Notamacropus eugenii: one gene and its partners. The protein of the gene in region 1 purifies or fractionates together with the protein of each later gene. This does not show direct contact. Links are inferred from orthologs where the notes say so. Each region holds a gene or a part of one and is shown in the gene's direction. Other genes may lie near its edges. The genes, in order: KPNB1, NUP214 and DLGAP5.

Region 1 (7,018 bases):
TGGGCAAGTCACTCTTCTGAGATTCAGTTTCCTCATTTATAAATAAGGGGAGCAGACAGAGTGACTTTGGGGGTCCTTTCTAAGTCTAAGTTTGTGTGACCCCCATTAGCTTCAGTGTTTGTACAGGGGCTCACCAAACATGTTCACAATTGCCCTGGAAGCTACCCACACACAATCCGCATGGAAGAGTGATTTCCTCCATAGATGAACTTAAGATCTTACTGTTCAAGGATGACATAGTGCTGATTTTCTTTAAATACCAGAATACTACTAAGTATCCTCAATGAGATCCTCAAAAATTGAACAATCCACATGGGGGAAAACCAAATGGATGAAAAAACGTGTATTGTTTAGGCACACTAGATGGGCATTCAGTTGGATGGGCAGCCCATTAAATTAGTCCATCAGTATGCATCTCTTGCAGAGGCACATGTCTCTGGATGGACAATGAACTGGCAACTGAATAGGAAGAAATGAATAGACTGGATTGCATTTGGAATATTATCCCATGTTTTCAAAATCTAGAAGTGTTTCCTGAAATGACCACTTATCATTTTTTTGTCTTTATAGGTTTATTTTTATTTTTTTATATCACAATCATTGCCTTTAATCCCCTATATCTGTTGTCCAGGGCTAAGATTAGTTATAATTAATCAGAGTTTTACTGCCTCCTCATATAATCCATCTTGTTGCTTTGATTTGGCACACTTATTTTTTTCAAACCTGCAAAATCACAGGTCTCCCTCAACCAGAACAGGTCTGCTCAGTAACTTAGTCTTGGAGATCTGCCTGCAGCACTGAAAGACCAAGGGTGCTTCCCAGAATGAGACAGCCAGTTGTCAGAAGTAGGGCTTGAACCTAGGCCTTCTGGCCTCTCAAGGCCAGCTCTCTATCCAATGTGCAATATTGCCTTCCTAATTCATCTTTTCACAACATTCTTCTAGTGATGCTAGATACATTGTTAAGTGCTTAATAAAATATCTGTTGCATCGAACCAAATCATTTCATGACTCCAATTGCCTACTGGATAAAGATCAAATTCCTTTGTCTTTTAAGACCCTCCACAATCTAGTGCCAGCCTTATCTCAGACTCTTTCCTTCCACATATTCTGCCCTCCCCTCAAATTAGACTCCTTGATGACCCCACACATCCTATACTTTGCCACCTCCAAATCCTTTCTGCTTCTTGTGACTAGATGTGTTCTCTACCTACCTCGCAGAACCCTAGGGGGCTAAACTCCTAGACCTCCTTTAAAGCCTAGTTCATATTCCACCTCTTAAGTCTTTCTTGATTCCTCTACTTGGTATTAAACATTTTGCCCTTGAAACTTGCTTAGTTCTTGGCTGGTATTCTCATGTACCCACTTTAAAGTTTTGTAAAGATATTCATAGATGTTTTTTCTTTTTTTACACTGTGGAACTGCCCAACAGTGTCCCTCTCCCCTGAGAGATCCCTCCCTGGTCACAAACGAAAATGTCTTGTCCACTTATACATTATGTCTACCAGTCATTTTTGTGTGTCTTGCCCTCCCTACCACTCCCATATATGCTTAGCAACATTGTCTCACCTGAACTTTGTATCTCTCCCCATACCTAGCACATGGCAAAGACTTTTTATAAAGTCTGATTGAATGGGGTCCAGTGGTTGTGAAGCTCAAATAACACAAATGATGTTAACTCACTTATGTAACTACTTTCCCCCTAACTATTGAATGAGGAAGGCCGTAGGATTTAGACCCAGAAGATATTTTAAGAGACTACCTACTCCGACTCCTTTGTTTCAGAGAGGATCTTAACAATTAGAATAGTTAAAAGATAGGATGAACTCCTCATCACTTGTGGGCTTCAAGGAGATTAGTTCAACTTTAGTAAGCAAATATTAGTGTCTCCAATTTAAATAAAGCAAAAACAAAATGAAAGAACTGTGACTTGTACAGTGGACAGCTCTGAGGGCTCTATGGACTAGTTGTGGTTTGACCTCTAGACCCTCCCAACTCTTGACTGTGGTTTGATTAAACGGAGGGCCAGAACAGAGCCAGGATTCGAATTGGTCTATCTGGGTTTTACAGTTTCCAAATCAAGTGTGTTCTAACAAGTAGATCTAACATGCCAGAGGAAGTCCGAAGATTCAGAAGCACTGTCTGACACGTTTCTAGCTTCCTCTGGGGACTTACGTACAGGATGGAAATTGAAGCCTCACATGTTCTATTTTCTCATGACCTCTTGGAATCACTTCCTGCTTCAGCTTAATTTAAGCTAACTTTCCTTATTCCCTTATTTATGGCCCATTCCCCAAATACTTTATGTATACACATTATATTTTGTGTACATATTCTTCTCCTTCCCTTATGTTAAAGCCTCAAGTGTTCTACCACCTCACAACCTTTTGCAATGTGTAGTTCAGCTTAATTTAAGCTACCTTTTCTTATTCCTCTACATGTCTGTGGTCCACTCCCTAAATACTTTATATATGCTCATTATTTTGTGTATATTTTTTCCCTTCCTCCCCTGGAGATTGGGGCCGAACCATCCTTGTTTTTCAACTCTCAGGTCCTAAAACAGTGTCAGCACTTATTAAATGCTTAATGAATATTTAATACGGTCAATTCTTGCTCCAGGAGCAAGTAATTTTAGGTATTTTAAATGCTTTGATTTTAAACACACCCCAATACTGGAAGAATCTGTGATTTCTTCTGCAGTAAGGCCACTCCCTTCACGTACTGATAAGTCCCAGGGCTGTGCCTCAAACATGCAGAGCTAAGAGAGCAGCTCTGGATTACACAGCTCGCAAATTTAAGAATTAGGATTTGAACCCAGATCTGCCAGAATTAGCACGTTTATAACGAGGCTGATAGCCAGGGGCGTTCAAGTAAACACCTACATGAATTTCCACTTCAGCGGACGTCTGCAGCGAACTTACCTCGTCAGGGCACCACACGTGCCCTGACACTCCAGGTACGGCCCCGGCCCCAACCCCGGGCCACCCACTGGGCCTCAGCACAGTCGGGCATAAAGCCCGCGCCGAAATCAGTTAGGAAAGAAGCCCAGCACCGCGCCCGCGCCCGGGGCCTAGACCGACCTCATCAAGCCCAGCTCAGGGTCTGGGCGGGGGCGTCCTGAACGCCGACTTGGGCGCTAAGATGCCGGCCCGCCTCTTTCCTGAGGTATCCCATGGTGCCCCGCGGCCTTCGGCCGCTCAGAGCATCCCGCCTTTCAGACCGAAGCGACCCCGAACTCCTCTACTCAGTTCTCTTGAGTGCCCGGCCTCAGTTCATCCAATCGATTCCCAGCACCGCGTCCAATCAGAACCCTCCGGGGCTTTCCCTTCTATTACCCCCTCCCTTCCCCACCCCCAGCCAATGCAAGCACAGCACCCTCATGAGGCGGGGCCAATCGGCGGGCGGCTCCGGGCAACCTCTCTCCCGCCCCCCCACGCCAATCCGCGCGTCCTTCCCGGCCGCCAGCCCATCCAACCGGAGCTTCGCAGGCAGCGGGCGAATAGGCACGCGGCGGCCCTCCGGCCCCAGCTGGCGGGCCAATCGGGAAGTCCGCGTGGCCTCGGTGGGGGCCAATCGGACTGGAGCGCGGTGCCGCCGCGACGAGTTCCGGCCCGGATATCCCTCCGCCTCTTCTCTCGCTCTCTCTCCCCGCCTGCGAGCCGCCGTTCACTCACTGACTCCCTCCCACCCTCTTTTCCTTCTTTCTCCCTCCGCCGCCCCAGCACCAGCCGCGCTCCGACTTGCCCCCGGGGTCCCTCCCCCGCCGCCGCCGCCACTGCCACAGCCGGAGGAGCCAAAGCCCTCGATACAGCAGCACAGGAGGAAAAGGAAGGGGAGGTGGAGAAGAGGCAGCCAGGCAGGAACGCGGGCAGGGAAGCCGGAGCGACCAGTAGGAGGGAGCCGGTGAATGGGCTTGTGGTGACCCCCGCCCCCCCACCCCAACCCTCCCTTCCCACCCGGCCCCCCAACCCCCCGTCCCCCATCACAGCCATCGCCGCAACCGCGGGAGTCTGAGAAGCCGGAGCCGCCCGAGGAGGAGCCCGAGCCCCCGTCGCCGCCATGGAGCTGATCACCATCCTCGAAAAGACCGTCTCGCCCGGTACGAGACCGGGGTTGGGGCTGGGGCTGGGGCCGGGGCCAGGGCCAGGGCCGAGGCCGAGAGATGGGGCGGGGGGATGGGACCGAGGTGATCTGACCGGGGGAGGGGAAGCCCCCTCTTCCCCCTCTTCGCGGTTCCCCTGACCCCCTTCCTTTTCCTTCTCCACAGATCGGATTGAACTGGAAGCGGCGCAGAAGTTCCTGGAGCGGGCAGCTGTAGAGAACCTGGTGCGTTTTGCGCCTGGCCCCCTCCCATCCCCCCAGGCTGGGGCCTTCCCGCCCTCCCCGGGGCCCAGGCCTAGGGAACCCACCCCGCCCCATCTCGCCCCCCCTCCCCCTTCTCCCTCCCTTCCCCCCCTTCTCGGACCAACCTAACCCCGCCATCGGGAAGCCGGTGGGTGTGTCCCGCCCCAGGCCCCGGCAGCCGGCCAATAGCGAGGCGCGCCGGGCGAGGGCTGCCCAATCACCGCCCGGCCTGAGGGCGGCGGTGCAGCGGGAGGGAGGGGAAGTTAGGTTGCGCGGCGCTGCGTGTTCAGTAAGGGTGGGGGTTGGGGCGCCGGGGCCTAGGGACCATGTGGAAGCCCTAGGAGCCCGGCCAATCGCCCCGCCTAAGGGCCTGCTTCTCCTTTTCCGTGGCCTTTCTCATTCTCAGTCCACTTCATTGAGCTGGTCTTTTCCAGACTCTGCCTCCATAGTCTGGCCTGGTAGCCCCCAAATCTCCTTTCACTTAATGCCCATATTTTACCCCCTCCTTGAGTGTGGGTCTTCTGCTGCCATCATGGAACTGGATGGGGATAGAGTTTTAATCGGTCAGGGAGTTGGTCTTAGACTAGGCAGTGTGGCCCAGAAATGAGGAGATGAGGCCTATTTCCTGTTGCAGTTTCAGAGGAAGTATTTTGCTATTCTTACTTTCCAGATTTTAAGAATATGAAAAAATTATGCAGTTCCCTATTTGATGGGGAGCTGTTTCTCTGGATAAAAATTTAGGGTGGATTGAATGAAACAGCCCATATGCCAGTCATGTTCCCCTTTTGGTGTTTTTCTTATAAAACTGAGATTGAGATGTCTGCGGCATAATGTCCTCTTTTAAATGGTTGAAGAACCATAAAATATTCTAAAAATGTTTTTTTCTGTCACTTAAACTAGACGTAAGGTGAACCTCATGCCAAAAGAAAAAAATTATGGATGGTTTTTTTAGACTGTTTTTAAGTGATTTAGTCTTGTGCTTTTAAAGGTCAGTATTGGTTGACACTACAATTTTAGCTATAATTAGGTTATTTTATTTCTTAACTGGCCTGTGTGTGCCCTTCACGTTTTGCAGGCAAGACCTTTTACTGATATAAATGAATCATTTGTTTTATTTTTGTGAAGAATTGTAAGAAATCTGTTTGACTTGTTACTTAATAATGTGTTGCCTGTTGAGAAGATTAATTCTTGCATGTCTCAAATTTCATAGACTGGCTCTGCCCATTTGTGGCTTAGCTTATGAACTTTGGGAGTAGGGTTGAGAGACTTTGGGGGAGGCTATATTCTGTTTGTTAAATATATCTGCATTTATAAGTAGTTGGGGCTTGATGGAGCTTCTTGCAGATTTCTAGCTTCAGTAGAGTGCTCAGCTTCAGTATGGTTAGAAAGTCAGGAGCAACTGATAAATATAAATTAGTAAATGACAGTAGTTTGTTGAAGTCTTGCCTTACAGTTTCTCACTTCTATTTTTGAAATTGAATCCTTAGTTCTAAAAGTTTGGTCCTTGTTGCCAACCTTCATATCTTTTACCTTGCACTTATTCTTCCCAATTTTCATTTTATTGCCATTTAATGCTTCTGGCTTATTTTCCCTTTATAGTGTCTTTGAATAGGGTACAAAGAAGGTTCCTGAAGCATTATTTTACTTTGAGTTTACATATAAGTAATTACAGAATTTCAGAATTAGGAGGAACCTCAGTGGCTAGTTAGTCTCTTTTATTAATGTACTTGACAAATGGTCATCTAGCCTTTGCTTGAAGACCTTTAATGAGTGGGAACTTCCCAAGGCAGCCCATTCTTCATTTGTAGAATTTTACATTGTTAAGAAACTTATATCGAGCCTAAATTTTTTTCTTCTACTAGTTGCTCCTACCTCTTGTCTTTTCCTTCCTGCAAAAATAAAGCTGACTTTGGAGGGAAGGCTTAGGAGAGAATCCTGACTCTTCTAAAATAGCCTTGTGACCATGGGCAAATCACTTTGCTTATCTGATCTCTTGTATATAATGGGCATGATAAAGAATTTCCAAGACCTGCGGAGTTCTAAGATTTACTGAGTCAAGAATCTAGTCCATTTTGGATGAACATTCCTAGAAGGTAATTGTCAACTTATTCCTTTCCTGCATCTGTCCATAGAAGAAACCTATTGACTGACAGGTAGATCAACAAACTAGCTTTGAGTTTGAACAGGTTAGCTGTGGACATAAAGACAACGTATAAATGACATCAGTCAGAATGAAAAACTATCCTACTTTTATTTATCTGAGTATAGGAGTTGGGGAGAAGGATGGTGAATATAGAGTATCCCAAAAGTCTTAGTGCAGTTTAAAGCATGTTATTGGTGTATGAGCAAAACAATTAAGTGGAGTTTTGAAGTTGATATTTTAAAATTTTTATAAAGACCTTTTGCTTTTTCCCCCATGAGTTGCTAACCAAGCTAACCTTAATCTGGGAAATTCCCTGAGGCTGTTACCATTTACAAATATTTTTCTTCTCCTAACCAGCCCACTTTCCTTGTGGAACTGTCCAGAGTGCTGGCAAATCCAGGAAATAGCCAGGTTGCCAGAGTTGCAGCTGGGCTACAGATCAAGAACTCTCTGACATCTAAAGATCCAGACATCAAGGCACAGTATCAACAGAGATGGCTTGCTATCGATGCCAACGCTCGAAGAGAGGTCA
Region 2 (7,623 bases), on another chromosome or scaffold:
GAAGTTCAAAGGTTTATTGTAATGCTAATGTGGCAAATAGAGCTGCTTAAGGAACTTTGCAATTTAACAAGAATGATGCTAAAGCTTAGATAGGAAAAGTGGTGGATTATCTGGTAGATACACTAATTAGGTGATATCGTACAACCTTAGTCACCAGCATCTTTCACTCCTGGAAACCAGAGAAAGGAGTTTCTAAGGGGTGTATTTTTGGTCTGTTATGTCCGTAGCAAGATAACTTTGAGAGATGATGTCTATAGCTTGACCTCTGGATTGTATATGATAACTGGGAATCAATACATGAGAATTCTACTGGCACAAGGTAGTCCTGTTCACAGAAGGGAAATTCTACAGAGGTCAGCTTGTTCTTGGAACAGGGAGGGATAGTTTACCTCACAGGAGCACACTCATGAGTTATTTCTAGGCATAGTGTCCTTGGACTGGAGAGAAAACTGTCTGGGAAAGTGTTTTGAGACTAGGGAGAAATGTGATCTTGGAATTGGGGTCCATACACAAGCACCCCATAAATGTTACTTCCCTGCTCAATAAAATCCAGTGGCTTCCTATTACCTCTAGGAACAAACACAAAATGTTCTCTTTGGCAGAGTCCTTTGTAACCTAGCCCTCTCCTACCTTTCCAGTTTTCTTGCACCTTACTTCCAGACAGGTACTCTTTGATCCAGCGACACTGGTCTTCTAGCTGTTTCACAAATAAGACCCTTCATTTTTCAGTTCCGGGCATTTTTTCTGCCTCTTCCCCATGCCTGGAATGCTCTTCTTCTGCTCCAACTAATGACCTCTCCCTAGCTTCCTTTAAGTCCCAACTAAAAGTCCCATCTTTTACTGGAAGCCTTCCCTTTTAAATGTGCTTGTCTTCTATTAATTATTTCCTGTTTATCCTGTATATAGCTTGCTTTGTCTATATTTGTTTGCATGCTGTCTTGATTAGAAGGTAAGCTCCTTGTGGGCAGGGACTGTCTTTTATTTCTTGTGTCCTCAGTGCTTAGCAGAGTGCCTGGCACATAGTAGAAGTTTAATAAATATTGATTGATTGAGGGTGTAAGGTAGAAGAGACAGGCTGCCTCAAGGACAAAACCAGGAGCAAGTGAAAGTCGGAGTGAACTAGATCTTATGTTCCACAAGGAAAAACTTTCTAACAGAGCTATCCAAAAGTGCAATGGTCTGCCTTGAAAGGCATCCATCCCTGGACATCTTTGAGTGGGGACCACTCTAAAGGGAATTCTTGTTCTGGTATGCTCTAATGTACTTTGAGGTTCCATGTAAATATGACATTTTGGGATTCCAGGATATCTGAATGCAGGAAACCCTTCCAAGGTCTCTCAAATGATACCATGCTCTTAATATTGTAATAGTCTCCTGACTAGTAGGTTTGTCTTTTTCAAGACTGTATACCCTCCATAGTGCCCCTCTAGTTTCCAACCCCCCCCCAATTTTACATAATATATTAAGATGAATCTTCCTAATATATTCCTTTGGTGATGCCATTCTCCTCAAAAATCTTTAAGGATTTTTTTTACTGCCACAGAATAAATTGTAGTCACAGAATTTTAGAACTAGAGGGGCCGCTAAAAAGCATTTAGTCCAGGAGTTCTTACCCTTTTTTGTGTCATAGATCCCTTTGGCAATCTGGTGAAATCTATGTACCCTTTCTCAGATTAATACTTTTAAGTGCTAAAATAAAATATAAAGTATTACATAAAGGAAGCCAAAGGTTAATGGAAATATGTATTTTTTCCCCATTTAACTTCACAATCCATACCCCTCTCCCCATCTATCCATTGATCCCTTGGGTATCCACAGATCATAGGTTAAGAATTCTTGATTAAATAATCCAACTCTTTCATTTCTCAGGGGGAAAACCGAAGCCGAAGAAAATGAATTAACTTGACCATAGTCATATAGTTACCAGACAATTGTCTGATATTCAAAGTTCTCCACAGTCTAGATGTCATCATGTTTACTGTAACTCCAATCTGCACAAAGACAAAACTAGCCAATTCATTATCCTTCAACCTTGCTTGTACTTTATACTTTGTACACCCTTTGCCTACCTAGATGAGCTTCCTTTCCCCTTTTCTTCCTGCCCACTTCTGTGGAAACCTCAAATCAAATCTTCCCTAATCCCTCTTCCATATCCAATCCATCCCTTACTGCCAGACACCCTCCGTATCCAAAGATACGCTCATATCACACCACTGTTCAAAACCTTGCAAAGGTTGCTAGTTCCTAAATTCAAACTCAGCTTTACATTCAATGTCATCCACAAGCTAGCAACAGCATCTTTCCAGTCTTAGTTCTTATATCTACTTATACCTTAGTTCTTTTACCTACTCTACTGTCCAGTCAGAAGAGACTACTTGCCCCAATATATTTGGTGCAGTAGAAAAAGTGCTGGATTTAAAAGACCTGGGTTCTCATGTGATATTGGGAATGACAACCTTTTTCAAGCTGAGTATATTCCTCTGGAAAACCAAGAAGTTAGAATACATGACCTCTAAATGAGGCAACTAGTTGGTAAAGTAGGTAGAGTGCCAAGTCCAAAAGACTTATTTTTCTGAATTCAAGTCTAGACTCAAACACTTGTTAACTTTGTGACCTTGGGCAAGTCATTTAACCCTGTTTGCCTTAGTTTCCTCATTCGTAAAATGGGCTAGTGAAGGAAATGGCAAACCTCTAGTAGCTTTGTCAAGAAAACCCTCAAATTGGGTAACAAAGAATTAGGACACAACTGAAAAAATGACGAGAAGAACAACAAGTATCTGAACACGACCTATACTTTTTGATAGTGTAGATAAAGGATTTTGCAAATTTGAACTCTATAGAAACGTCAGGTGTTATCTCCAATTCCAAGTCTTTAAAGTCCAGTTCAGATTCCACTTCCTTCATAGCGCCTTCACTGAAGCCATCGACAACTGGACGCTTTGTAGCTCTTGAGCCTTAAGTTTGATTTGTCCTAATTTGCCTCTGTGTCATCTTCAGCTGTTAGACCTAAACTCAGAGAAGCTTATTTAAAACATGGTATTCCATTCCCCCACACCTCAGTTCTGCACAAGAAGACCCGGTCTGAATTAGACCGAATTCCCCAAACTTTCCCTTTTCTTATTGGTCTTAAAAACTCTTCGCGGTCTTCCTCCCGGCAGTTCTCCGCGTCCTGGTGGAGAGGCTGGAAGGCAGGCAGGGATTTTACTTCTTTCTCTAAAATCCAGGATACAAACCTGGCAGAGGGTGCGGCGACAAGCCCGCGCGCAGGGGTGTTGAATGAATGAATGAATGAATGCCATTCATTGCGGACCACGCGGCGGGAAGGACGTGAAACAGAGCCCCGCTACGCTGAGCTATATGCTACACACAGACATTTCCCCATCCGTGAAGAATTTTTTAAAAATAAATGATTTACTTTGTTAAATGTTTCCCAATTACATGTAAACTATTTTTAACATTCGTTTTAAAAAAAATTTGAGTTCGAAATTCTCTCCCTTCCTCCCGACATCCCCCACCCATTGAGAAGGCGAGCAATATGATAGCGATTATACATGGGAAGTCACATCAGTCAAATTAAAAGTTAAAATTTTGGAAATTAACTTCCGCGGTCCAGAAACTCCCTAAGATCCTAGACTGGAAGATGACTGCATGTTAGGAAGAAAGGCTAGGCAACAGCGAATCACGACTGATGGACTTCAGGCCACACCCCCTTCCTAGGGTAAACCAATGGAAAGAGGCGGCTGACAGTAAGCGCGAGCCTGACTGACCAATGGGAGGCTGCAGTTCACAGCGCGCTCGCGCCAGACGGGCCAATGGAAAGCAGCAGCTCACGACAGGCTCGAGTTGGATCGACCCCTTTCCCACCCTCCTAGAAGACTGTTTCTCACGGGTGTGACGTAGTTTTGATGCGCCGGAAATGGCAGCCGTCGGAGCCTGTCGCTGAGCTCAGCGAGGGAATTTTTCCTCGCTGTAGCTCCGGCTCTCCGGGGGCGGCGGCTCCTCGGGCTCCCGCTTGTAGGGAGTCTGTGCCATGGGAGACGAGATGGATGCGCTGATCCCCGAACGGGAGATGAAGGTCAGGTTCAATGAGACCTGGGCCGGGAGGGGCAGGAGGACCGGTACCACCGGGACAGGCCACGCCGCGCCAGGCCTGGCCGGACGTCACTGAGGCCCAGCGTTGCCTTGGAGAGAGAGCCTCCCGTCTCGAATTTCTCGAGGCGCTGGGTGCTGTAGTTTAGAGCTTACTGGGCACGAGAGAATGGGAACCCAGAGATTTGGGTTTCAGTTAGAGTCTAGGATGTTTCCCCGTAGGTTCGATACCTTTCCCTACCCCTGCATCTCGTCTTGAAGGGACCGTAGATTTAGAGCTAGAAGGGACCCGCGGCACAGATTATCTTGTCCGGCCCGCACCCCACACCCACTTTACAGATGAGGAAACCGAGGCCCACAAGTTAAATCATTTGCTTACCGTCATAAGTGGTAGCGCCCTACATTTTCTGACTCCAGGTCCGGTCACTGCCCTTTTTTATGGATCATTGCAACGTCTACAGCCCAGTGCTTTCCCACCTCACAGGGAAAAACTCAGCATCTGCATCTTTCTTACGTAGCTGTTTCCCCAGAACAGAAAGCTAGATGAGAAAGATATAAAGGATCTTCAAAATGCGACGTCTTAGATTTCCGAAAGCCAAGAAGATGATTAGCATATATTCGGGGCATAAATCCAGACAACCTCCTCTTCCCAAATATGTAGAAAATCAAAGGGAAGTAAGTGAAATTATTCTTTGGCCCCATTTTACATATGTTTGGAGAGAAAGGGACACAAGGTGGAAATGATTTGTGGAAGAATTCCAGCATCCTGGGAAAACACAGAAATGGCTCTGGAGGGCACCGTCTTCTTCAGATGAACCTGGTTGAACAAACCATCACTATCTATCTTAGATGCTGTTGTGGAAGGGCTCCAAATCTCAAGTTGTCTTATGTGAATAAGAATAATGGACTAGTCTTACTCTTCTCGATGCCTCAGTTTCTTCATCTGTAAAATGGAGGAAACTGGATTAAGTTGTTTTGGAAGTTTTTTCCAGTACTGATATTCTGTAGTTCCTGGAATTTGTCTCTTAGGCTACATATATCTGAAGGGAATGTTGCAGGGACAGTTAGATTGACAGGTTGTTGTGAAGGGAAGTGTACCATACTGAGTATTACAAAACCAAAGTCCTAGTCACTGATTTGCTACTAATTTGGTATGAATTGTTGTGATGGGAAGTATTTCTACACTAGGTATCAGAAACCATGAGTTCTAATTCATTGATTTACTACTAAATCATAGTGTGATTCTGGGACACTCCCTTCCTCTGTCTGGGCTTTATTTTCATTATGTTTAAAATTAGGGGATAGCACTAGGTTGTTGCTAAGGTCTTTTGCATTCTGTGGTTTCTGGCTCAGTAGTCCTTGATGGATTTAGCCATTGAAGCAATATTGACTCTGATCTCTTGGACAAAGTTGGGTCAACGTTGGGTTGAGAAATATGCTGAATTGAGAGTGAAGAGATCTGGATTCTGCTTCCATTAGGTTGCATGCTTCTTGAGGGCTGAGAATATCTTTTGCTTCTCTTTGTATCTCCAGTGCTTAGTAGAGTGCCTAGCACATAGTAGTCTCTTAATGAATATTAGTTGACTGACTTCTAGATGTTTGACTCATTGTACAACCTTGGGTCACTTCCCCCTTAGAGACTCAGTTTTCCCATCTGTAAAAAACACTAGATAGTCTCTAAGGTCCCTCTCTCAACTCAAGAATACTATGGATAGTGATCCTTAAGGCTAACGTACAGATTTACTTAAGGAGCCTGTTTACATCATTGGTTCATCTGTCATCCAGATGTTGGGTGACTGTGATCTTAGAGGCCCAAAAATAATCCAGATTGTACTTACAGAAAACTTTGTTGTGGGTCTGGGCTTTTTTGGAAGGGATCACAGTAGTACACTGGACCAGTGAAAATGCCCATGAGAACTCTCATAATCCTTTTTGAGTTTGTAAATGCTATTTCAGAGGCTACAGTTCTTTAAGTATGATCATATAGGTATTATGATCCCCATTTGACAGATTTAGAAACTGAGTCAGAAAGTGACTTGCCTGTGGTCACATATCTTTTAAGTGTCAGTGATGGGGTTTTAAATCTATGTCCTCCTGATTCTAATTAAGTTCATCTTCCACTGTCTGCAAAGCAGAAAACATTCTCCCCTTGTATAAAACCACTCACAGAAGTACCTTTTCTGTTCAAGATCCTTAGCTAGATGTTGAGAATACGGAGATGCAGAATGACATAGGCTTGGCCTGCAAGAAGTTTACATGTACATATATAAGTAGAATTCAAGGTAGACAGAGATGGGGCAAAAGATATTTTGATGTGCTGAAATTTCATTGTGAAAATTTCTTGAAATGTCACATAGAATTAAGTAATCTTTTTCTTGTTGGTCAGTAATTTTTGAGTACTTGTTATGTACATAGATTTTGTGTCTTGTGGGACTATAGTAATAAGTCACATTTCTATAATCTTTTGGGGTCACAAAGTATTTTCTTCACAACATCTCCATAAGGGAGCACAAGTTTTATTGAAAATGAAGAAACTAAGGCTCAGAGGAAAAGTAACTTTCTAATAGTTTCATAGCTACTAAGTGTCAGAGCTGGAATCATTCAGTTTTCTTTATGTCAAGTCTTCAATTCATTCCACTATACCATGGGGAGAGAAATGGAAGGGACTGTCCTTATTCAGAAGGAATTTACATTGCTCTCAGTGGAGAGGTAGAATATATACTTATGTATAATTAGAGAGTAAGACTTTATATGTAAGTATATAACAGTGAGTGAGTAAGAGAAAACTAGGGTGAGCTGAATTTGTCAGGGAAGGAGTCAAGGAAGGAATGGGAGTATTAAGTCAAGATTTTCTTTGTAACTCTCTTTGACCCAGGTAAGCAATACCTCTTATCATCATTTAAACTACTGAGTTACTCTCTGTTTTTATTCTTTATGACAGGATTTTCAGTTTAGAGCGCTGAAGAAGGTTCGAGTCTTTGAAGCCCCTGAAGAGCTGTCCAAAGATCGCTGCAGTATGCTTACTGTGTCTAATAAGTATGGTCTAGTGTTCGCTGCCGGAGCCACTGGGTTTCGGGTTTTTCCTACCAAAAATCTTCTTATTCAGAATCGGCCTGGGGAGGATCCCAATAGAATTGGTTAGTTACAGTCCAGCAAACTTTTATTATTAAACTCCTACTGTGTGTGTGAAGAGCTTTTTGCAAGTTATTGATCTATGTAAGATAGAAAAGAGAGGAATGTAGTGAAATACTAGTGAAGTAGTCTTTTTCTCAAAGAAAATCTCTGACATGGTCACTGAAGTCGTGATTTTAAGAGTGTTACTAAGTTGACCAAAGGTTCCCAGGTAAGTACCAAAGCTATTCCTGAGGTGTTGGAGATAATCCATGTGGGTCTTCCTTTTGAGGTATCTGGTCATCCCTTCAAGCTCAAAGTAGGGAAAAGTCTACCTTATTTTATTTTTTGTTGGGCTTATGACCTAATTGTGGAAGGAGTTTATTGTATCACATTTTAGTTGGCTTAACAGTACTCTTGTTA
Region 3 (7,767 bases), on another chromosome or scaffold:
AAGGAGATTTACTACTTAGCTGACATCAGAGGCAGAACTTTTGCATTGCCTATACTTGGATCTGGCTGACTGTTGATGGTGAGGAAGAGCACTAGAACTTGTGACTGTAGTGGAGTGGAGACCCTGTTCATAGTTCCAGGATGTAAAAGAGTGCTTGTGATCTCTCACAGACCTCTTCTTAGATCATGCCACCTTGAAAGAACTAAAAACTTATAGGAACCTAGAAGTGTCTCTGAAAACATCTGTACAAAAAACCTGGGATGGTAACTCCTCCACTCCAGAAGTAGAGCCCCACTTTAGCATGGGTCAAGAAATTCCTGGAAAATGAGCAAACAGCACAAAATATTCTGCTATAGAAAGTTACTAAGGTGAAAAGAAGATCAAAACAAAAGCTCAGGAGAAGACAACAAAACCATAACTCCTATATACAAAGCCTTAAATAAAACGATGAATTGGGAGAACTTAAAAAGGATTTTAAAAATCAAGTAAGAAAGGTAGAGGAAAAATTGAGAAGATAAATGAGAGTGATACAAGAAAATAATGAAAAAAGTCAACAAAAAATACTGAAGAAAATGACACCTTAAAAAACAGACAGGAAATATACTAGAAGAGGCACAAAAAACCAATGAGAAGAAGAATGCCTTGAAAAGCAAAATTGGTCAAATAGAAAAAAGAGGTACAAAAATCCACTGAAGAAAAGAATTCCTTAAGAAATAAAATTATCTAAATGGAAAAGGAAGTACAAAAGCTCACTGAAGAAAATAGTTCCTTAAAAATTAGAATTGGGCAAGTGGAAGCTAATGACTTTGAGGCACTGCAAAACAATCAAACAAAATCAAAAGAATGAAGAAATAGAAGAAAATGTTAAATATCTCATTGGAAAAATGACCTAGAAAATGGATCCAGAAGAGATAATTTAAGAACTATTGGACTACCTGCAAACATGATAGCCTAGAACCTTATCTTTTAAGAAATTATTAAGGAAAACTATCCTGATATTTTAGAACTAGGGGGTAAAATAGAAATTGAAAGAATTCCTTGATCATCTCCTGAAAGAGATCCCAAAAGGAAAATTTCCAGGAATATTATAGCCAAATTCCAAAGTTCCCAAGCCAATGAAAAAATGTTATAAGCAGCCAGAAATAAACAATTCAGGTATCGTTGAGCCACAATCAGTATAACACAAGATTTAGCAGCTTCTACCTTAAAAGGTCAGAGGGCTTGGAATATGATATTCCACAGGGCAAAGGAGCTAGAATTACAACCGAGAATCATATACCTAACAAAACTGAGTATAATCCTTCAGAGGAAAAAAATGATATTCAATGAAATGGAGGACTTTCAAGCATTCTTAATGAAAAGACCAGAGCTGAATAAATTTTAGCTTTCAGATACAAGATTCAAGGCAAGCATAAAATGGTAAACAGGAAAGGGAAATCTTAAGGGATTCAATAAGGTTAAACTGTTTACATTCCTACACAGGAAAATAATACTTGTAACTCCTGAAAGTTTTCTCATTATTATGGCAGTTAGAAGTATACATATTCAAAGCACAGGTATGAGTTGAATGTGGTGGTATGATTATCTAAAAAAAATAAAATAAAATTGAGGGGTGAGAAAAAAGAATGTACTGGGAGAAGGGGAAAGGGAAAGATAGAATGGGGTAAATTATCTTACATAAAAGAGGCCTGAAAGAGATTTTACAATGGAAGGGAAAATGGGATATGGCAGGAGGGGTAATATATGAACCTTACTCTCACTGAAATTGACCCAAAGAGGGAATAACACACATTCACTTGGCTGTAAAAATCTGTCTTGCTATACAAGAAAGTAGGAGGTGATGGGGATAAGAGAATGGGGTGGTGGTGCTGATAGAAGGCAGGGCAGTTTCAGGGAAATAAAAGTCAGAAGCAAAACACTTTTGAGAATGCACAAGGTAAAAGGAGAGAGAGAGTAGAGTAAATAGGGGAAATAGGATGGAGTGAAATACAGAGTTTAGTCATCGCTGTGAAAAAAAATCTTTTAGAGTGAATTTCTCTGATAAAGACTTAATTTCTTAAATATAGAAAGCAGAGTCAAATTTGCAGAAATAAGAACTATTCCTCAGCTGATGAATGGTCAAAAGATATAAATGGGCAGTTTTAAGACAGTGATTAAAGATATGTATAGTCATATGAGAAAATATTCTAAATCACTATTGATAAGAAAAATACAAATTAAAACAACTCTGAGCTAACACCATGTGCCTATCAGATTGGCTTATATAACAGAAAAGGAAAATGACATTGTAGGGAATGTGGGGAAAATTAAAATATTAATGTACTGTTAGTGAAGTTATATAGTTATTCAGTCATTCTGGAGAGCAATTTGAAACTATGCCCAAAGGGTTATAAAACTATACAAACACCTTGACTGAGCAATACCACTACTAGGTCTGTATCCTAAAGAGACAAAATAAAAGGAGAAGGACTTATCTGTACAAAAATATTTATAACAGCTCTTTTATGGTGGCAAAGAATTGGAAATTGAGGGGATGTACATCAATTGGGTAATGTCTGAACAAGTTGTAGCAAATGATTGTGATGGGATGCTATGTGCTTTAAGAAAGGATGAGCAGGATGCTTTCAGAAGAACCTAGAAAGACTCACATGAATGGATGCAAAGCGAAATGAGAAGAACCAGAAGAACATTGTGCAAAGTAATAACAATATTGTATGACGACATATTGGGAATAGCTTGGCTATTCTCAGTAATACAATAATGAAAGACAATTCTGAAAAACTTATAATGAAAGGTGCTGTGCATCTCCAGAGAAAGAACTGGTAGAGCCTGAATGTAAATGAAAGATACTTTTTCTTCACTTTATTTTACTTGGGTTTGGCTTTTTCTTTTTTTGTCTGTGTTTTTCTTTCAAAGCATGACTCAAATGGAAATGTTTTGCACAACTATACATGTATAAACTACATCAATTGCTTACTTTCTCAAAGAGAAGGGGAGGAAGGGCGAGAATTTGGAACTCAAAATTTGAAAAAAGAATGTTAAAATTATTTGTACATGTAATTGGGCAAAAATATTTTAAAAGAATGTAAAAAAAATGAAACATTAAGGAACAACAAAAAAAGAAAAATTAATCAGATCCCACTATTGTGCACATTTAAAACACACACACACACACACCCCTATGGACACACAGGCACATATACATTCATATATTTATACCACACGTATATGTAATGTGCAGGTATGGCAAATACCTAGGAAAAGAAGGAAAAGAAGTCTGGGTTGCCTTTGAAAAACTGCCAGTTTCTTTAAGGACTTCTAATTCCTCCTTGAAACAGAGACCCTCCTTTTTAATATCAATATTCTTCTGCTGGTGTTGTATAGCTATGAGTTATTGTACACCACAGTCCCCAAAAAACTGAAACTAAGGATTATCCAAAGGACAATAGAGAAGCAATGAGGCTGCAACTCATACCAAACATGGAATTCTGTAGGAGAAATGGAATAAAGGATATAATCAAAAAAAGGTACCATCAAAAAAGATGGGCTAGTCAAAGAGTGAGCATACCTAGAAGTTCCACCGGTATCTTTGTTAACATCCAGGTTCTAGCATCTTGAGTGGATCCTGTGATGAACTTACAGAAGGACAAAGGCAAAAGTCCAGAAGACAGGCAAGCATGGATGAATCGGAATCTATGTCACTGTTGGGAATACTCACAGATCCAGCTGAGTGTACTACGTGTAGAGATACTGGCCCAGTCTGTATAAAGTTTCAGGGCTAGTCTGCATGGAGCTTTAGGCAAGACGCAGGTATGTTTCTATAGGAGAAAGAAATGGCACTGGCTAAAACAAAGATGGGAAAAGCAGTTGGCTTAGATAAGCATGTATAGAGAAGATCTTTGTCGGAGACTATAGGTATGTGATTCCAAAGGTACAAGGATACCTTATAAGGACACCAGATAAGGAAACTCCCTCTACCAATGGAGATCCTCAGAAAAGCTACTAACCTGCACGGGTAGTTTCCTATACCAATTAAATTATGGGTCCTGTCTCTATCCCAATCACCCTAGTTCATTTGATAGGCCTGAGGATAAAACCTCAAAGTTGTTTTAATTTATATGCATAATATATATTTGTATATTATATAATTATTATGGGTGACTTGGAGCACTTTTTCTAAGTTGATATTTCATAGGTTCAAACTGCTGACAACAAAAAATTGTTCTTAATCAACATGCACTTATGAACCGTTAATATTAATATTCTATTTAAGGATAGCAAGCATCTGCAAACCACGTGTAAGATCAAATTACAGTGAGCGTTTCGAGAGCGCTTCCAGAGCCGCAAAGCGCTTTCCACGTTCCGTCATGCGATGCTCACAAGTGTGCGAGGCGGGCAGGCCGGTACTGCGGGACCGCTCGGGTTACAGACAGGCCCGCTGGCTGAGTCCTTCCGGCCTCCTCTTCCTCCTCCTCCTTCTCTTCGGGGGAGAGAACTCTAAGCAGCGCGCATGGGAAGCCTCCTCCGGCAGCCCGGCCCATCCCACAGACTTGCTCCAGGATCCGGGCGGAGGACGGATCCCGCCGGTTTAATCCAACGAACAACGAGACGGAAGCCAACCGCGCTGCATCCCGCGAAGGGGATGAGCGGACCGTGAATCCTCTCCCGCCCGGAACCAACCGGAAGAGCGGAAGCCTCCCTCTCGCCCCGCCCACTAGGCCTCCGCTCTCCGAGGGAGGCTGGGGGAGGGGAAAAGGTGACAGGTCGGTGGGCAGCCAGCATTCCCCAAGGGCCGGGGCCTTTCCCCTATGCGCTCAACAATAACAAAACAGTTATACAAGCAGTGGAAACGATGGCGGAAATCTATCGAGCCCCAACCAGCTACTCAGCCCGCCGATACAGCCCAGTCGGAAGTAGTTACAAGCGTCATCCTCTTCGGCCTCTCCCAGCATTCGTTTCCGGCCTTAGACCAATCCAAGAAGCTCCCTGAACTGACCAATCAGGAAGCGCCCTATAGAGCTCCACCAATCATAAGCTGGAGGCGGGAAATTTAAGCGTCCCGGAGGTGGACGATCTGACTTCATTTTGAAAACTGGGCGTTTCCGGTTTTTGGGGGAAGAGCGGTGTTTTTATCCTTTTCTTTTGATAGTTTCCCCAGAACCTTTTTTGCTAGGAAAGTGTGTTTCGCAGGTAGGTCCGTCTGGAGGGGTTGGGTGGGGGTGGGGGGAGGGGAGGAGAAAAGGGGGTGTATGTGTGTGATAGTGTGGGGGCGGGGGAGGATCCCGCCGTGCCTCCGCCTCTGGAGAAGGGCAGTTTGGGCCGCTGGGGAGTCGCGGCTCCGCCTTGGTGTCGCTGGGCTCTGGCTCTGAGGGGGTCCTTCGCCCGGTGCTGGTGGTAGTGGAGAAAAGACAAACTGAGTCAATTACTCTTTAGTACCTGGATAGTGGGCAGAGTCCGTGTGGCGCCTTCCCTTCCGGTGCACCAAGAGCTGCCTCGGCCTGTCTGCAAGCCTCCTGACATAAGGCCACATGCTGGCCGGGTGACCCTGGACCAGTCACTCCACCTCCGGTGTTCTAAACAAGTGTAAAGCCATAGTGCGGAGGTGGTGGCGATCACCACTGGTAGAGGGTGTTTCCTTATGTGGGAGGTCTAGGTCTAGACCCCATCAGATTTTTGTTGTTTACTCATTTCAGTCATGTCCAACTTCTCCATTTGGAGTTTTCTTGGCAGAGATACTGGAATGGTTTTCTGTTTCCTTCTCCAGCCCATTTTACAGATGCAAACAGGGTTAAGTGACTTGCCCAGGGTCACACTGCTAGTGTCTGAGAGTATTTGAACTCGTGCCTTCCTGATTTCAGAACGGGCTAACTGCCCTCTACCAGGTTAACATACTGTAATTCTAATGGTGTTGGTCCAGGGCTGACACAGCTGGGTGGCACAGTGGGTAGAGCATCTTCCTAAGTTCAGATGTGGCTGTGTGACCTGGGCAAGTCACTTAACTTGGCCGCAGTTCCTCATTCTGTAAAATGGGGACACTGGAGAAGGAAATGACAAGCCACTCCTGTGTCCTTGCCAAGAAAACGAGTCAGAAGGATCATGAAGAGTTTGACCCATGGAACAACAGCCTTTATTGTTGTGTTTGTCCTTTGTTTTTCTGAGAAGCTATGACATTAAAGAAATGAGGACATAACTTGCACTTGTTTTTGTTTTGAGTGAGGGAGGGCTGTGGAAGGTCACCAACCTCACTTTCTGCTTGGACCCATCTGAATCCAGTGACCAGATATTCATCAGGATGACCGGAGATGGCCTGGGAGACCTTGGCCCCTTGGCTAAGATCTTCTCAGGTACTCACTTAAAGTGAGGTAATACCCATTCAGTAAACTGGCCTCTTTCAAAGGTCTAGGGGGGATAGCCCCTTTCATAGAAAAGAGAAAATAAATAGATAAATCATGCTAGGAGGGGCAGGAGCCTCAGCGTTGTTGTTTGGAAGAGAAACTGTTACTATTGACATTCCCTCTAAGCCCTGAGGGTCCAAAACCAGCCATTGAGTGGAGGTTGGGCAGGGACCCTTCCATGTTTAGTCCATGGGTTTCACTGTATCGTGTCCAAGGCTTTAGAGGAGAAAAGAAAGAAGGGAAGGGGAGCAACAGCCATCCCAAAGGTGTACAGCATGAATTTCATTTTCTCGGTTTAGAAAAAAGTTCACAAACGACATTTTCTTTCTTTTGCTCCTTTTTTTTGGAATCACTTATTGTTGCTTTCTTGCCAAACCCCTCTCCCTTAAAATGGAAGAAAACCTTCCCTTGTGGTATAAATAGAGTCATTCAAAACGTTTTTCAAATCCAGCCACTTTTTGTGTCTCATTCTGCATCTCTAGTCCATCAACTTATGTGCCAAGTATAGATCCACATCAGTCTGTTGGAGTCATTGGGTTCATTGATTATCATTCCTAAGTCTTTCATGATTTCTCTTTACATTGTTGTTTTTGTGTAGGTAGTTCACTCTGCAGTTTCTCTGAATCCTTTTCTCATGTATTAACTGTGATAACATTTATAAAAAACTTGCTCAGTAATTTTTCAGTTGATGGACACCCACTCTGATGTCAGTTCTTGCCTACAACAAAAAGTGGTGCTACAAATATTTTTATAAATAAGGGTTTGAGTATAAGCCAAGTAGTTGTATCTGAGAATCAGTAGGTGTGCATAGATTAGTGAGTTTTGGGGCATAGTTCCAAAAGATTGGATCACTTCACAGCTCCACTAGCAGTGTATTAATTTGCATATTCTCATCTTCAGCTCCAATACAGATAAAACTAGTGCTTGGTTTTAAATAGATGCTATTTACCATATTGAGGAATGCTTCATTCCTATGCTTCTTAATATGTTTAAAATGACAAATTGTCATTTTATTAAAAAGCTTTTTGTCATTTATTGATATAAGAACATATTTATTGTTTTTGTTAATAATGTTTGTTATATTTATAATTTTCTAATATTGAACTAACCCTATATTCCTTGTATAAATCTAACCTGGATTTCTTTTCCCTCTCAAAAATAATTTTATTTATTCATTGATTTTAAAACTCTTCCCTCCCCAAAAAACCCTACCGTCCTTCTAATGAGTAACCACAGCTGAGGAAGTAATCACTCCCATTTGCTGAGACAAATGTATTACTCATTCTGTACCTTAATTCCATTACCTCTCTATTAGGACTTGTTAGTATGTGGGTAGTATTAGTCCTCCAGAGTCTAATCAAGTCTTTCAAAG

What was found.
Region 2: the proteins of KPNB1 (region 1) and NUP214 purify together in Homo sapiens (affinity purification with mass spectrometry; 3 studies listed by BioGRID and IntAct, with this or other methods). This does not show direct contact. The link is inferred for Notamacropus eugenii from reciprocal best matches to the Homo sapiens genes KPNB1 and NUP214.
Region 3: the proteins of KPNB1 (region 1) and DLGAP5 purify together in Homo sapiens (affinity purification with mass spectrometry; 4 studies listed by BioGRID and IntAct, with this or other methods). This does not show direct contact. The link is inferred for Notamacropus eugenii from reciprocal best matches to the Homo sapiens genes KPNB1 and DLGAP5.

The regions. Positions count from the first base shown.
Region 1 is NC_092873.1:353,612,285-353,619,302, reverse strand, and holds the start of KPNB1 (importin subunit beta-1), read left to right. Parts: upstream 1-3,916; 5' UTR 3,917-4,058; coding exon 4,059-4,098; intron 4,099-4,266; coding exon 4,267-4,325; intron 4,326-6,843; coding exon 6,844-7,018.
Region 2 is NC_092872.1:482,961,376-482,968,998, forward strand, and holds the start of NUP214 (nuclear pore complex protein Nup214), read left to right. Parts: upstream 1-4,585; 5' UTR 4,586-4,659; coding exon 4,660-4,764; intron 4,765-7,030; coding exon 7,031-7,226; intron 7,227-7,623. UniProt on the Homo sapiens protein: Part of the nuclear pore complex. Has a critical role in nucleocytoplasmic transport.
Region 3 is NC_092872.1:344,301,274-344,309,040, forward strand, and holds the start of DLGAP5 (disks large-associated protein 5), read left to right. Parts: upstream 1-4,806; 5' UTR 4,807-5,190; intron 5,191-5,291; coding exon of another isoform or gene 5,292-5,388; intron 5,389-5,436; coding exon of another isoform or gene 5,437-5,530; intron 5,531-7,767. Other genes in the region: uncharacterized protein, read right to left, coding at 4,377-4,806, 5,292-5,388, 5,437-5,530. UniProt on the Homo sapiens protein: Potential cell cycle regulator that may play a role in carcinogenesis of cancer cells. Mitotic phosphoprotein regulated by the ubiquitin-proteasome pathway.